Linked DNA regions of Xenopus tropicalis. The protein of the gene in region 2 interacts with the protein of the main gene of each other region in a pairwise test. Links are inferred from orthologs where the notes say so. Each region holds a gene or a part of one and is shown on either strand. Other genes may lie near its edges.

Region 1 (6,338 bases), on a different chromosome or scaffold from region 2:
GGGTTTCATTTCTGGTTGCAGTATCTCTTTAAGAAAAATGGGCCTTCAGGATGCCACTGAATGGAAGAGAAGAGTCTGATTCTAGCAATAGACAAGAAAGCACAAAAGATGTAGAAAGAGGTTACTGGGGGATGAAGGAAGCATAAAGGCATCTATTTTGAAGGAGGATATTGCATGGCAGTGTTAAGAGCCTAAACAGGAATTAAGGATCTGGTTATTAGGGGCATGTCAGGAGATGGTTTTAGCAATGCTATGTAGACATGGAGATGGCTTAATGGATTTCTGAAAAGAGCAGGAGTCAAAATGTTAGGCATCCCTCAGTGAATTAAATCGCTACTGAACCTTTAAAATTAACTATATGAATTGATTTTTAAACTAAAGTTCCATTTAATGTGCTTTTTATGATCTGCCATTTAAACTATAATCTAGGTTACTAGGTCCAATCAGTGTTTTTTAACGTCACTATGAAAGATCAATAGACAAAGGCCTAAATAGTAAAAGACAGAATTTAAAATTAAAAAAAAAAATAATTGCAAAGTGCAAAGATCAAGCACCGTCAGTATATGTCTGTGGAGGGCCTACATTGCCCACTGCAGAATTATCACATCTGCTGACTGTACATAATTATGACTTTGTTTCTTATCATTTTATGCACTTCTTTTGCTTCTTCTGAATCAATTTTATTAACCTGAATAAATTATAGGAAAAATGTGTTTTGGAAGAAAACAAGGGAGAAGTAGGACACACTGTATATAAAAGACAAAAATTGTATTGTTCAGTGCTTGGCTTGTGGCAGAGGAAAACGGGAGGTTCCCAGTTGGCAACCAGATAAATGATGTGACAGAGAAGTATAACCTGAGGATGTCCAACTTTTGTAAAATATTTCTTGGCATCGCTAATCCTGTTTTGTAGACAAAATGGTTTCATCCCAAAGGTGTGTAAAGCTGGCTATACATAACCAGATCTGGTCAGGGAGTTTGGACGATTTTGACCACACTACCTAAACATCTAAATATGTCAGGTGGGGGGGGGATCTGAACTGGCCAGTTTGCAATCCTGTTGGTTGAAGATGGTCTCTCCAGTTTGACAGTATTTCATCTGCTCATGCCTATACCAAACCATTTTATTCATCATATTATGTTATTTAGATATGGGCCCTACAGCCCTAATTGTAATAGCACATCAGACGTTACAGAAAAAGTGTCCACCACATCTGACTTAACCCTGCCCTCTTCAAACCTGAACCTGCCCCAATCCGGCCAGCTGTAATTTTTTATATACACGTGCCTGCCCCTCTCTGATATAACTGAAGTCAGCAGGGAGGGGGGAGAGCATATATAAGAGCAACAGCAGGTGGGCAAAAGAGATAATGATGTCATGGGGGGAGGGGGGCGTGGGAATAGTTTGGCCCTCCATTCACCTGCCACAAGCAAAAAAAGTGATTGGCCTGCCCAAACTCACATCACTAGTCCATGGCTACCATCCATCAGAAAGAAGCAGGGGTATAGAATGCCTTGTCTGCTTGTCACCATTCTTAATGGTACTTAAAGGAAAGGGTCCTGACTGCATGCCTGTTATTGACTAAAATTAGGAGTGAGGTCTACAGTGGACTAGTGATGTGTGGGTCAGGAAATATTCAACCCAAAATGTTAGGTCGCTAATATAAAATAGATCACTAAGTGCTCCTGCTAGGAACCTGCGGAAAAAACTGGAGCGATGCATCAACATTTTACTCCACTTTCTACTGCGGCCCCAGGCATCCCCAGTGTTAATTCCTGTTCATGCAAGCGCAATAGTGCATACCCGAGATTTTACTCTACTGCGTATGTGCAGAATGCCAAGTGCCAAGGAAGGAGATGACAGTGTGGCACTCAATTTTTTCCACAGGTTCTTTCCTAAAAGGAGCACCAGCCTAGGGAAAAAAACTTAGCAATCTATTTCACTGGGGGGATGTAATGTCCAATATGTGAATAATGGCAAACATTGTGATTCTGAGCATTTTGTTTCCCACTATGCTCAAGCCCTATTTAAAGTGAATGGGAAGAGCATTTTAAGGATTTAGCATCTTCCCATAGTGCTACAGAGTGCAGGAAGGCAGTGTGCCATTAACCTTATGGGATCTGAATATCATTTGCAATGGAATAATACATAGTACAGGTATCGGACCTCTTATACGGAAACCCATTATCCAGAAAGTTCAGAATTACGGAAAGGCCATCTCCCATAAACTCCATTTTAAACAAAGAGTTCACATTTTTGAGAATGATTTCCTTTTTCTCTGTAATAATAAAACAGAACCTTGTACTTGTTTCCAAACTAAGATATAATTAATCTATATTGGAGCCAAAACAATCCTATTGGGTTTATTTAATGTTTAAATCATTTTTTTTTTAACAGACTTAAGGTAGGAGATCCGAATTACAGAAAGACCCCTTATCTGGAAAACCCCAGGTCCCAAGCATTCTGGATAACGGGTCCCATACCTGTACCATAACCATATACACTAGAGCTTTTGAAACAAACATATTTTCTTCAGTGCAGTGCAACAGTACATTACATTTAAATGTACTTAAAACCCTTGTTTTTGTATTTACTGGTCTGGCTGTGAGGGGATTTGGGGGTTATGGTTTGATTACAGCTGGAGGATTACAGAGCTACATTTACTGGTTCGCAACAGCGCTGAGCCCTTTGGTAGTCCAGTCGAATTGCAGCCGCTTTGTACAAAGGGCAGTGAGGGCTGCAGGAATGGAGGGCGCCCTCGGGTGTGGTGCGAAAGGAAACTTTCGGGGTGTGGCAGGGGGGTTGCCTGCCTGGGAGGGGTCCGAGGGGGATCGGAATCCCCTAGGAATGAGGAATATTCCCGATCCGATGACCCCTGCTGGAGAGAGTCCGTGCTGCGGTACAGAGGGGTGTGGTGTGGTGCATGGAGCCAGTTATAAGCCAAGCCTTAGTAGCACCGTGTGAGAGGAGTAAGCGCAGCTCTGTGCCACAGCTCTCACCCCCTATTCCCATCTATGGTGGCACTGCGCTAACGCTTGTCTTTTCTCTTCTTCGCTCTCGGCCGTCCCGCTCCCCCAGGGTGTGCTCTACACCACGCCGGTTATCAGAGAGCACGGCAACATCTACAAGCCCAATAACAAGACCATGGCAGGTGAGACCCTGATGGATACAGCTGCCCGGGACGTGCACACTAAGGAGATCGATCTGGTCAACAGGGACCCCAAGCACCTGAATGACGATGTGGTGAAGGTAAGACTGGAGTTATGTGCCATGTACTGACACTAGGTTAATGTGAGAAAGTTATATTGTTACATTGACTTGTGCCAGGGAGACGTCCCTTATCTCGGGGACTATAGACTTGTTCTGCACTTTAGGCCAGTGGTTTCCAAACTTTGGGGCTGGTCATGCTAGTGGGGCGTATTTGCTCTACTATATACTTTACTCAATAAAATAAATGTAAAGGTCATTTAGGGTGAGATTTGAAGTAAACTTATATTTGGTCTTTTGGATATTCTTGTAACTATGTTTTTATAGCAGATATAGCAATGTTAATATATAGCTTCCTTCAACGTTGTTATTATCTGGAGGGGGGTAACTGTGACCCCCGTAGAGTGAACCTGAAATGATCAAGTCCCAAAACCAGTGTATAGTGAGAGTATAGCATCCCAGTATTCACAATTCATATCATCCCATTCCAAATCATAGGAGCACAAGGAGATTTAGCACACTCTGTCGGTATAACATACACAGTGCTGATAAAGCACAGGCACATCATGCAGTTAGGGCTGAAGGGTTAAAGGGAAAGGTCCCCCTGTATGACAGGCAGCAGGCCATGTAAGTTGTGACATTTTTACACTTGGCTCATTTGTTTTCCCCTCTGAGCTTGGGAACAAAATGTTTGGAAAGTTGTCAGAGAGATGTTTGTGGTTTTTGGAAAGTGAGTTGGGAAGGCTTTAAGTGAATCCACCCTTTTTCTGTCATAGTCTTATTGGATATAATAGAGGATTTTGAGGCCCCTCCCTTAAATGACCAGGTGCTAAGGAAAAATGTTCCCTTAAATCTGGGCTGCACATACTGTACTCCAGAAATCCAATAAACCGCCATCCCTAGTATGATTCATTATATTTGCCCTCCAAGTTGTTTAATATTCTCTGGGACCAAGAACTCACAGACCTATGTCCTCATGTAACTAGCTCTCTTCTCATAATGCCAACATATCACTGCCAGGTATATAGGCCATATAGAATTGTGACCATGGGGAAGAATTTTAATGTCTTCTATAAAGATACATACATAGCAGTATCCCAACACCACCATTCCTACTCAATATCTGGTACCCACAGTTGTGAGTCTTGTGCTGTCCCACAAACATTTTGGTAAATTGTACAGTATGACTTGCACACATACAGTGTGGGCTACTACAATACAGTTGTACTTGCATGGTTGGCAACAGATACGTACGATGGGATTGGGGTAGAGTGCAATTTTGTGATTGATCTGTCGTTCTGTTCCACCATGGTTGACAACTGTATCATATTTCATTTAAAACCATTGCTAGTGTAAAGCTAGCTCTTTGAGGTTCACTCTGCTGTATAAGGAGCCCTGGTGTATGCTTCAGTTAACCTATTTTTTATATTAGGGGTAACTGGAGAATATACCACAGCTGCATGTCTTTTACAGCCCAAAGATGGGTGGGGTTTCCAAAACTTCATAGTTCAGCAGCAGACATGATCTAAGGTGCTAGTGAGAATTGCAGCAAATAAATGGCCTAGTGCATGTAAATTATTCATGTACCTTTATACATTGATGCTTACATGTCAATACAAATATACTAACAATTATAACAAATTATTAGTGCTAGGCATGGTGCAAAGTGCAAAAAATGGCACAAACTCTATGTTTCTTGGATGTTTGCACCCTGGGTGGGTGGTATTTGTGGCAGATCTGCAAACGGCTTGATGTAATTAAATATAGGGAAATATGGTTCAGGACCTAAAATAAACAGCTCAGTGTCATACTAACATGATGTAATTGCAACAGGATATGACTGAATTTAACAGCACCACAATCTACTAAAAATATGGACTAACTGGGCCAAGTCAAAAATTTAGAAAGTGGGGTTTTTGGCGCACCCTAAAATTACAGGGCCCATTATTTATGCCCTCGCCATATACTAATATCTACAGTTAGTATTAGTGGTTGTATATATAGTTTATGTATGGGAGTGTATAGATTGGTAGGTGTGGGTTGTGTGTGCTGGGTTTACTTGGATGGGTTGAACTTGATGGACTCTGGTCTTTTTTCAACCCTATGTAACTATGTAACTATTTGCTGCATTTTATACTGCATTTGCATTGCAGTTTATTGTGTACCACAAAGCTGCAACATGTGTTAATTGATCTCATTTTTCTTTATGTGTCCGTGACTGAGATCAAAGTTGAATACAGACAAAAAGGGACACATTCTACTTTTTTCAGTAGAGAGAGTGTAACAACCAGAAAGGAAGAATGAGTGCATTTAACTCATGCATTTCTAATGATTTATAACAGGCCTCACTGTAATGATAAAGAGATAATTATCCATATACATATCAGCATTCTAATTATTTAAATTATTTTGTGCAGTATCTATGTAAGCTCATAAAAAAGACTTAGGGGATGATTTACCAACTCCAAAAGAGTCAGTGGTAGCTTTAAACTAAACAGTTGTTTTAGTGTAGAAATTATACAAATTGATTTGACTCAAAATATTTCATGATTTCACACATAAAGTGTCAAATCATTTAAACTTTCCTGACTGTCAGGATATGGGTTTCTGCACCTTGGCAAACTTTGAGCCTTCATTACAAATGTGAGCATGAGTTTAAACCACATTCAACAGCTTTGCTAAACTTTCCAGTGGCTAGAAGCTCATGGTGCATACCCAATGGAAAAGGCCAGCAAACTTTATCCTGTGAGATCAAGGAATTTGCTTTGGGATATCCAAAGAAGTTAGTAAAATGAATAATGCAAACCACCTGCCGAGACAGTTGAGTGGAAAACATTGCACTGACACAACATACGCAGAATATGGTGTGACTTCCAAGCACAATTTGCAGCTGCATGGAAAGTATGAAGACGCTCCCACTCTGTCAGTGTGCTGAATCTGGTCACAAGTATATGGAAACTAAATGCACATAAATCAGCTATGAAAGATACAATAAACTTGGCATTGAACCTGCTCTGTAAGCATCACATTCCATGCTGCTAGGAGGGAAACACCTTCCAGGTTTATTTTTCATGCAATGATGTGAACTTGTCACCTTGGAAAATGTTATCTCTGGATTTTTACAAAAATGC
Region 2 (6,975 bases):
ATCCCCCACATAATTCTGATACAACCAGTTAAATGCGTGGGGTTTTTCTATGTTTCACAAACTCTTCAGTGTTTTTGGATATAAAGTATATATGTACATTTGTGATTTTCTATATAATACCATACATCATAACTTTTCTCATCATCAGCATACTGTGATGGTTACTGTGGTTAGCATTGCTGGTTTGTAGCAACAGGAGTCCTAAATTTGTTTCCAATCTGGACACAATGCAAGGAGGCTGCATGTTCTTCCTGTGTCTGCATGCATTTCCCCTGGTACTCTGGTTTCCTCTCTTATTCTAAATGCCATACAGGCCAATTATTTGTTTTCACGTGAAACTGACCCAACCGTGTATGTGTAAATGTGACATGGACTTAGATTGTGAGATCTATTGGGAAAGGTACCAATTTTAAATTAATAATGAACAGTCTGTATAAAGCACTGCATAAATGTGTCTGTTCTTATTGAAGAATAAAATAATTTATTACTGATAATAAATGAGAGAAGACATATTATTTTAAGCAGCTGCTCTCAAAAGGAAAATATTTAAATGCACTGTGGATATTACATTTGTTCTGCGGGATATAATGTGGGCAAATGTCCAGATCTGTTTAGCTATATTTGACAAAACGTGTAACCTATGTCATTTTTATGTAACCAGAGCAATCAGCAGAAAATGATTATCATGATAATCAATTATACTAACCATTCCTCAGATATTAGGGCCATATTTAGTATTTATAAAAGCACAAACAAAATGTTGACAAGGCTCACCTTCCTTTATGTTGCACCACTTCCTTTGGTGAAAGGGTTGAATAAGACAAGGGTGGCATTTTCCAGTTGAGGTTGCCTTTCAGTTATTCCCTAATTGCCATGGTCTGTTTTTCCTGATAAGGCTGGTTCACTTCCCTTACATAGTTAAGTGCTGATGTGTTTTCAAATGTATAAAGTGCTTTTTTCTAAGATGCTACTGCTTATTTTCTTTCAAGTCATTTTTATGTGATCATTTTACTCAGTTTGATTTACCCTTTGCAGCAGACCCTTCCTTGTAGATTTATTACAGTCATATTTGTTTTGTCTCACAGTTAATTCTTTGGAAGATTACTTTATACTTTTCAACAAGAGGCTAGAAATGATTATTCATTTCCTTCATCACAGGTGACGTTCTTATTTCCATACCTATTTTGCAAAGCTCTCTGGGATTAACTTTCTCTGAGCATTTTCCCAACAGCAGCAGCATATCTGTAAGTTGGAGCCATCTGGATAGTTGCTATGGGAACTAAAGAGATACCATGACAACGAATAGGGTTTCCCAGGAAACCTTTGTTGCTATGGAAACTGCATCACTGGGGTCAGAATTAGTAACTTCCGATGAAAAGCAAGTCCAGCAGTTTAATCTTCTGGCATGTAGACCTGTTACACATAACATAATCTAAGGACATTCTGAATTTTGTTATGCTGCTTGGCACTATCATAGACATAAAAATGCAGTTTCACTGCAACTTTATAATATGTAAAAGCAGCTTTAAACAAATTTTTTACTGAGTGTTGATCTACTTATACATTAAAGCAGAAACATCTGTGCTGTTCTGTCATAAAAAAATAGAACAGAACAATGCGATTTTTCTGCAGGGATTAAGGACTTCATCTTTTTTTAAAAAAAAAAACATTGTAAGCAGGAGCCAAATAAGAATGGTTAAATTGAATCATATTGCCCTCAGAAGGATGCCTGAGAAGTAATTAGCAATAAGGTGGTGTTCCTTATGCACTGATATTTAAGAGCTAAGCAGCAGCACTTAATTGAGAGAAAATGTAAGACTTAGCAACCCGCTCCCGCTTTCTTGCAGAATGTTAAAATAAAGGCGATAGATGGCAGCTCCCCGAAACAGCAGCTGAATCGCTGGCTGTCGCTCACCAGCCCCACACCAGCCCCACACCAGCCCCACACCAGGCTGCCGGCACCGTGTATTTAGGTGGAAGCGCTCAGAAAAGAAACAATGAGAGGAACACGCTGATGCCGATGCTACAGTGACTTTTCTAGTTGCTGTTGATGTATTCACTTGGCAACAAGTGTCTCGCAGTTACACATCGGTAAAGATCTTCTTGATATTCACACAGTTTGGGTTGTTTGTTGTGCAGTTGCCCGTTTTGAAGGCCGGCTGTTTAAAGGGCCCCGGGCTGACCCCTTCCTCTATGACCATATACTCTGATTTGCTCAGTGAGGAGTTGCTCCGTGCCTTCTTCAGATCCTCATTGGAAGACAGGTGCTGGCAGCTCCCTACGTGCAGGTACTGAGCCTGCTCCTCTCCCTCCGTCTCCCGATGGTAGAAATAGTTGAAGTTAGAGACGATGACAGGCACCGGCAGGGCGATTGTTAACACCCCGGCAATGGCACACAGAGAGCCCACAATCTTTCCCCCAATGGTGACAGGATGCATATCACCGTATCCCACAGTAGTCATGGTGACCACCGCCCACCAAAAGGCGTCCGGGATGCTATTAAACCCAGAAGAAGGGTCATCAGCCTCTGCGAAGTAGACTGCGCTGGAGAATAAGATGACTCCGATAAAAAGGAAGAAGATGAGCAGCCCCAGTTCCCTCATGCTGGCCTTCAGTGTCTGCCCCAGGATCTGCAGCCCTTTGGAATGCCTGGAAAGCTTGAAGATCCGAAAGACTCTGACCAACCGAATGACTCGGAGGATTGCCAGCGACATCGCCTGCTGCCCGTTTCCTTGGCGCTCAGCCAGCTCAGTCCCCAGGGTGATAAAGTAAGGGATGATGGCCACTATGTCTATAATGTTCATAATGTTCTTACAGAAAGTGGCTTTGCTCGGGCAAGCGAAGAACCTGACCAGCAGCTCGAATGAAAACCATATGATACACAGGGTCTCCACCACGAAGAACGGGTCGGTGAAGGAGCTGCTGATGTACGGGCCGGTGCCATTGCCAGGGGGCAGAGCCGTTCCGCTGTATTCCTTGTCGTCTCGGAACTCGGGCAGCGTTTCCAGGCAGAAGATGACAATGGAAATAAGGATCACCAGGACGGAGACGATGGCGATACCCCTGGCAGGTCCGGAGCTCTCAGGGTACTCGAAAAGAAGCCATACCTGCCTCTGAAATTCATTGGGGGGAAGCGGCCGCTCCTCTTCCCTGATAAAGCCCTCATCTTCTCTGAACTTCTCCATGGCTTCTTCCCCCAGCTCGTAGAAGCGGATCTCTTCTGAGAAAATGTCTATGGGAACGTTCACCGGTCTCCTGATCCTGCCGCCCGACTGGTAGTAGTAAAGGATGGCATCGAAACTGGGGCGGTTCCTGTCAAAAAAGTATTCGTTCCGCAGGGGATCGAAGTATCGCATCCTTTTCTTGGGGTCGCCGAGCAAGGTGTCGGGAAACTGGGCTAAAGTCTTCAGCTGGGTCTCAAAGCGAAGGCCGGATATATTGATCACTACCCTCTCACAGCACTCATGGTCCTCTTGCTCGTAGGCTTCGCTAGAGTGGTGCCCCGGCAGGGCAGCCGCCTCCTCCAGGATGTTATCACACGCCACCACAGTCATGATCTCCTGCTCCAAGTCCGTGTAGCCTGGGTTAACTATGTTCGAGTTGGTTCTGTGTCTGGTGGAGGATGGAGGAGGCGAATGCAGGAGACTGAGGTGCTCGTCCATAAAGGTGAGATGAGGGGTTGGGCGGGTAGGAGAAGCGCGGTGGCCTCCTCCTTCAGCCCACTACATGAGCCGCAGGCTCCCCTCCCAGCTCTCTCTGGTAGAATCTTGTTGCGTCTTGTATATTAAAAGCATTTGCGGAGATTCCTCCTTTTTACCTCCCAGACTATGGAATCTAGCTGATGGAGCGCACACAGAGATATATAGGTCTCCTTCTGCCATCCCTTGCTCCTCCGACCCCTCCTTTCCCGCCAATTCCTTCCCGCCCACAGAGAGCGGGCAGCTACCACCTGAGGGAAGGAGGCAGACAAGGATTGTGTGTGTGAGGAAAGGGGCTCTTGTAGCTCTGTCTGCCTAAACCTACCCATCCATCAGCATATCTGTATTCTATTCCTATGCCCAACTCTATGGCTGGATAAGCATAAGGACAGTCTCTTTTCTGTCATCATTCTATTATTATTTATTAACATTTATTTATAAAGCACCAACATATTCCGCAGCGCTGTACAATAAGTGGGTTTCATACATTGGACTTACAGAGTAACATATAAAGCAAGCAATAACCGATACAAGAGGTGAAGAGCTTACAAGAGAAAGGGTTGAGACACAGGGTGTTCTATCTACAGGGGCTTATAGTTTTCACTTAAAAAAAAGTCTTCAGAAAGAAGTTAAATGCTATTTATAACATGATATCCTTATAAACTAAATGCTGCAAGAATCTGTTCAGGATGTATTTAAAAACAGTGATGGGGGAATTGGCCCTTATTTAAGTGGCACTATCTTTAATTTGGGGGGCAGGAAGGGGCAATGGGCACACACCAGGCAACAGATGAGAGGGGCAGAATACCTGAAAGAGCTATAGCTTGCACATTTATTGTGGGAGATATCTTGATTGGCTATGTTGTGGTTGAGTGCAATGCTCCTAATTCCTTTTCAGATATTTGCGCAAACATTTTTTTGTGCACACATTTTGAAATGTGCTCAGGTCAGCATAAATGCAAAATTCTTTATGCAAACCATTTGTTGTGTGCACTAGCCTTTAAACTTGACAGAACTTTGGTTGAGTGTAAAGGTCCCCATACACCTTCAGACATCGCCAAGCGAGTGGATCTTCTCCCGATATCCCCCACCTACGGGTGGGCAATATCGGGAGAATCCAGGCTAATTCAATCGTTTGGCCCTGGGGATTGCGGATGAGCCAATGCGGTCCCCGATCCGACTAGATTTTTTAACCTGCCCGATCAATATCTGGCCGATTTCAGGCCAGATATCGGTCGGACAGGACCGTCGGTAGTGCCCATACATGGGCCGATTAACTGCCGAATCGTTTTAAGGGACTGATATCAGCAGCTAGAATCGGCCTGTGTATGGGGACCTTAAATATAAAAAAGTAAAGGGACACAGAAACACAAATAGAGGGACATGATTTGGCACAAATTTTGGTTTTGCCTACTTTGTAATCATCCGGAGTAATGAAGCATTAGGTACTCCAGCAGTTTATGATATACACACTGTCTATTCGCTGTTCCTTCTTGACATACTGTGTCCCCAAGCATTTCAAGGCACAGTCTTCCCCTAAACATTTGATGGCATAGTCTGGCCCAGGCATTGCGGAAGATGATTTTGGGTGGGGAAAGCTGGCCTGCCTCCCCCCATCAAGTAGTACAACTGGGCAAGATAGTAAAATTATAGTACAGCTAGCAAAACAGCGAATTTCAGCTCAAAACTGGATTCTCTTTGGTAGTGGTTTTCAGAGTTTCTGGTAGGAGCCAACCCACTACCCACATAGGCAGGTAAGATGAATGAAAACACTTGTTGAATCACAAACTTAAACTGGCCATGCACAGCAAGATCTTGGGACAGGACCACATCAACACCCTGATGCACTCCTTATCCAACAGGATTCTTAAACCTTACTGACTTACTGACTGTGTACAGTATGCCCACATTAAGCCAGGTTATGACTGAATTAGGCCCAGGAACCTATTTGTGTCCTTCTGTGCTCAGTAACAACCCAACAATAATATCAGAGCAGATTTTATGAAGTGGAAAAAAATATACATTAGCACATTTATTTAAAAGTCAATACCATGATGTTTCATTTGATGCTTGTTAGGAGCAACCCTATCATGCTACATACATTTTCTAAAAAGTTGCACAAGAAGAACCTATAGAAGAAGATCACTGCACAGAGCACTTACAGAAGTACGCCAGGCTGTTGCAGTTTTCTGCTACTCATAAGCACCCACCCGGGGTATCAGGTAAGTTATTATAATCACTGGGGGCTGCCTAACTGATTTTTTTTTGTTGTAACTTATAATTTTATTTTTTCAAAAAGAAAGCAAACAGTAAATGTACAGCTTATACAGTCGTTCTTATAAAAATCAACATAGTAACAGTATGGTTCGGTTCATATAGTTATCTTTTGTTAGTCTACACATTCTACACAAATAGGGTTTATGCCTGACTGGTTGTGCCATCAGATTTGTGTTGTACTGTGCATACCAGGTTTTAGAGACTGATAGATACAGGTGGAGGGGAGAAATAGGGGGAAAAGGTACAAAGAGAAAACTGGGGTTGACTGGTATTCACTGCATCTAAGTGCCCTGTTTTGTAGTTAGGTCATGTTGGAGAGAAGATCCCAGGGAGACCAGATTTTAACATACTGGGTATTTTGTTTTGTATACGGGCCAGTCTGTATTCAAATTGCATGGTATTATTGATTTTTCCGTTTATTTCTAGGATAGAGGGAATGCATGGGAATTCCATTTAGCTGCTATGGAGATGCAGGTGGCTGAGAGTATCTGGTTGACAAGTTTTTGTGTAGATTTTGAGAATTGTTTGGAAGGTTTCCCCAGAAGGAGGATTAGGATATCTTTATCAAGCGTCTGAGATGTAACCTGCCGTATGAGTGTTAGAATCTCATCCCAGAAAGTCTGTATCTGGGGGCAAGACCAGAAGATATGAGGCAAGTCAACTGATTTTTATTGTGTTGGGTTGAAAAACCCAACATACTGTTCTTTGACATATTCTTGGCTTATTCTTCCACTTCTTTGCGCCCCCCATTTTCTTAATGCTACTCCTTCTACAGTTTTAGGGGTACAACACCCAAACTCTCCACACTTCTTTGCCCTATAGTGTAGCAGGTTGCTTGTGCTTTTCTAAGCGATTGCGCCCCCAGTTGTTTTGTGGCGCCGCTCCGAACCCCCCAATTTTCCCTTTGACTTTGACAGGGAAGATATTCAAACTGCTGCCACACTTACAGCTTTGAAGCTACACTCCCCAAACTTGAATAACATAATCATGGGGTCACCCC

The links.
Region 1: the proteins of kcna3 (region 2) and cav1 come close enough for resonance energy transfer, tested with the Homo sapiens proteins (2 studies listed by BioGRID). The link is inferred for Xenopus tropicalis from reciprocal best matches to the Homo sapiens genes KCNA3 and CAV1.

What each region holds. Positions count from the first base shown.
Region 1 is NC_030679.2:68,066,925-68,073,262, forward strand, and holds part of cav1 (caveolin-1), read left to right. Parts: intron 1-3,078; coding exon 3,079-3,249; intron 3,250-6,338. UniProt on the Homo sapiens protein: May act as a scaffolding protein within caveolar membranes. Forms a stable heterooligomeric complex with CAV2 that targets to lipid rafts and drives caveolae formation. Mediates the recruitment of CAVIN proteins (CAVIN1/2/3/4) to the caveolae.
Region 2 is NC_030678.2:52,492,952-52,499,926, reverse strand, and holds the start of kcna3 (potassium voltage-gated channel subfamily A member 3), read right to left. Parts: upstream 3,977-6,975; 5' UTR 3,663-3,976; coding exon 2,082-3,662; 3' UTR 775-2,081; intron 1-774.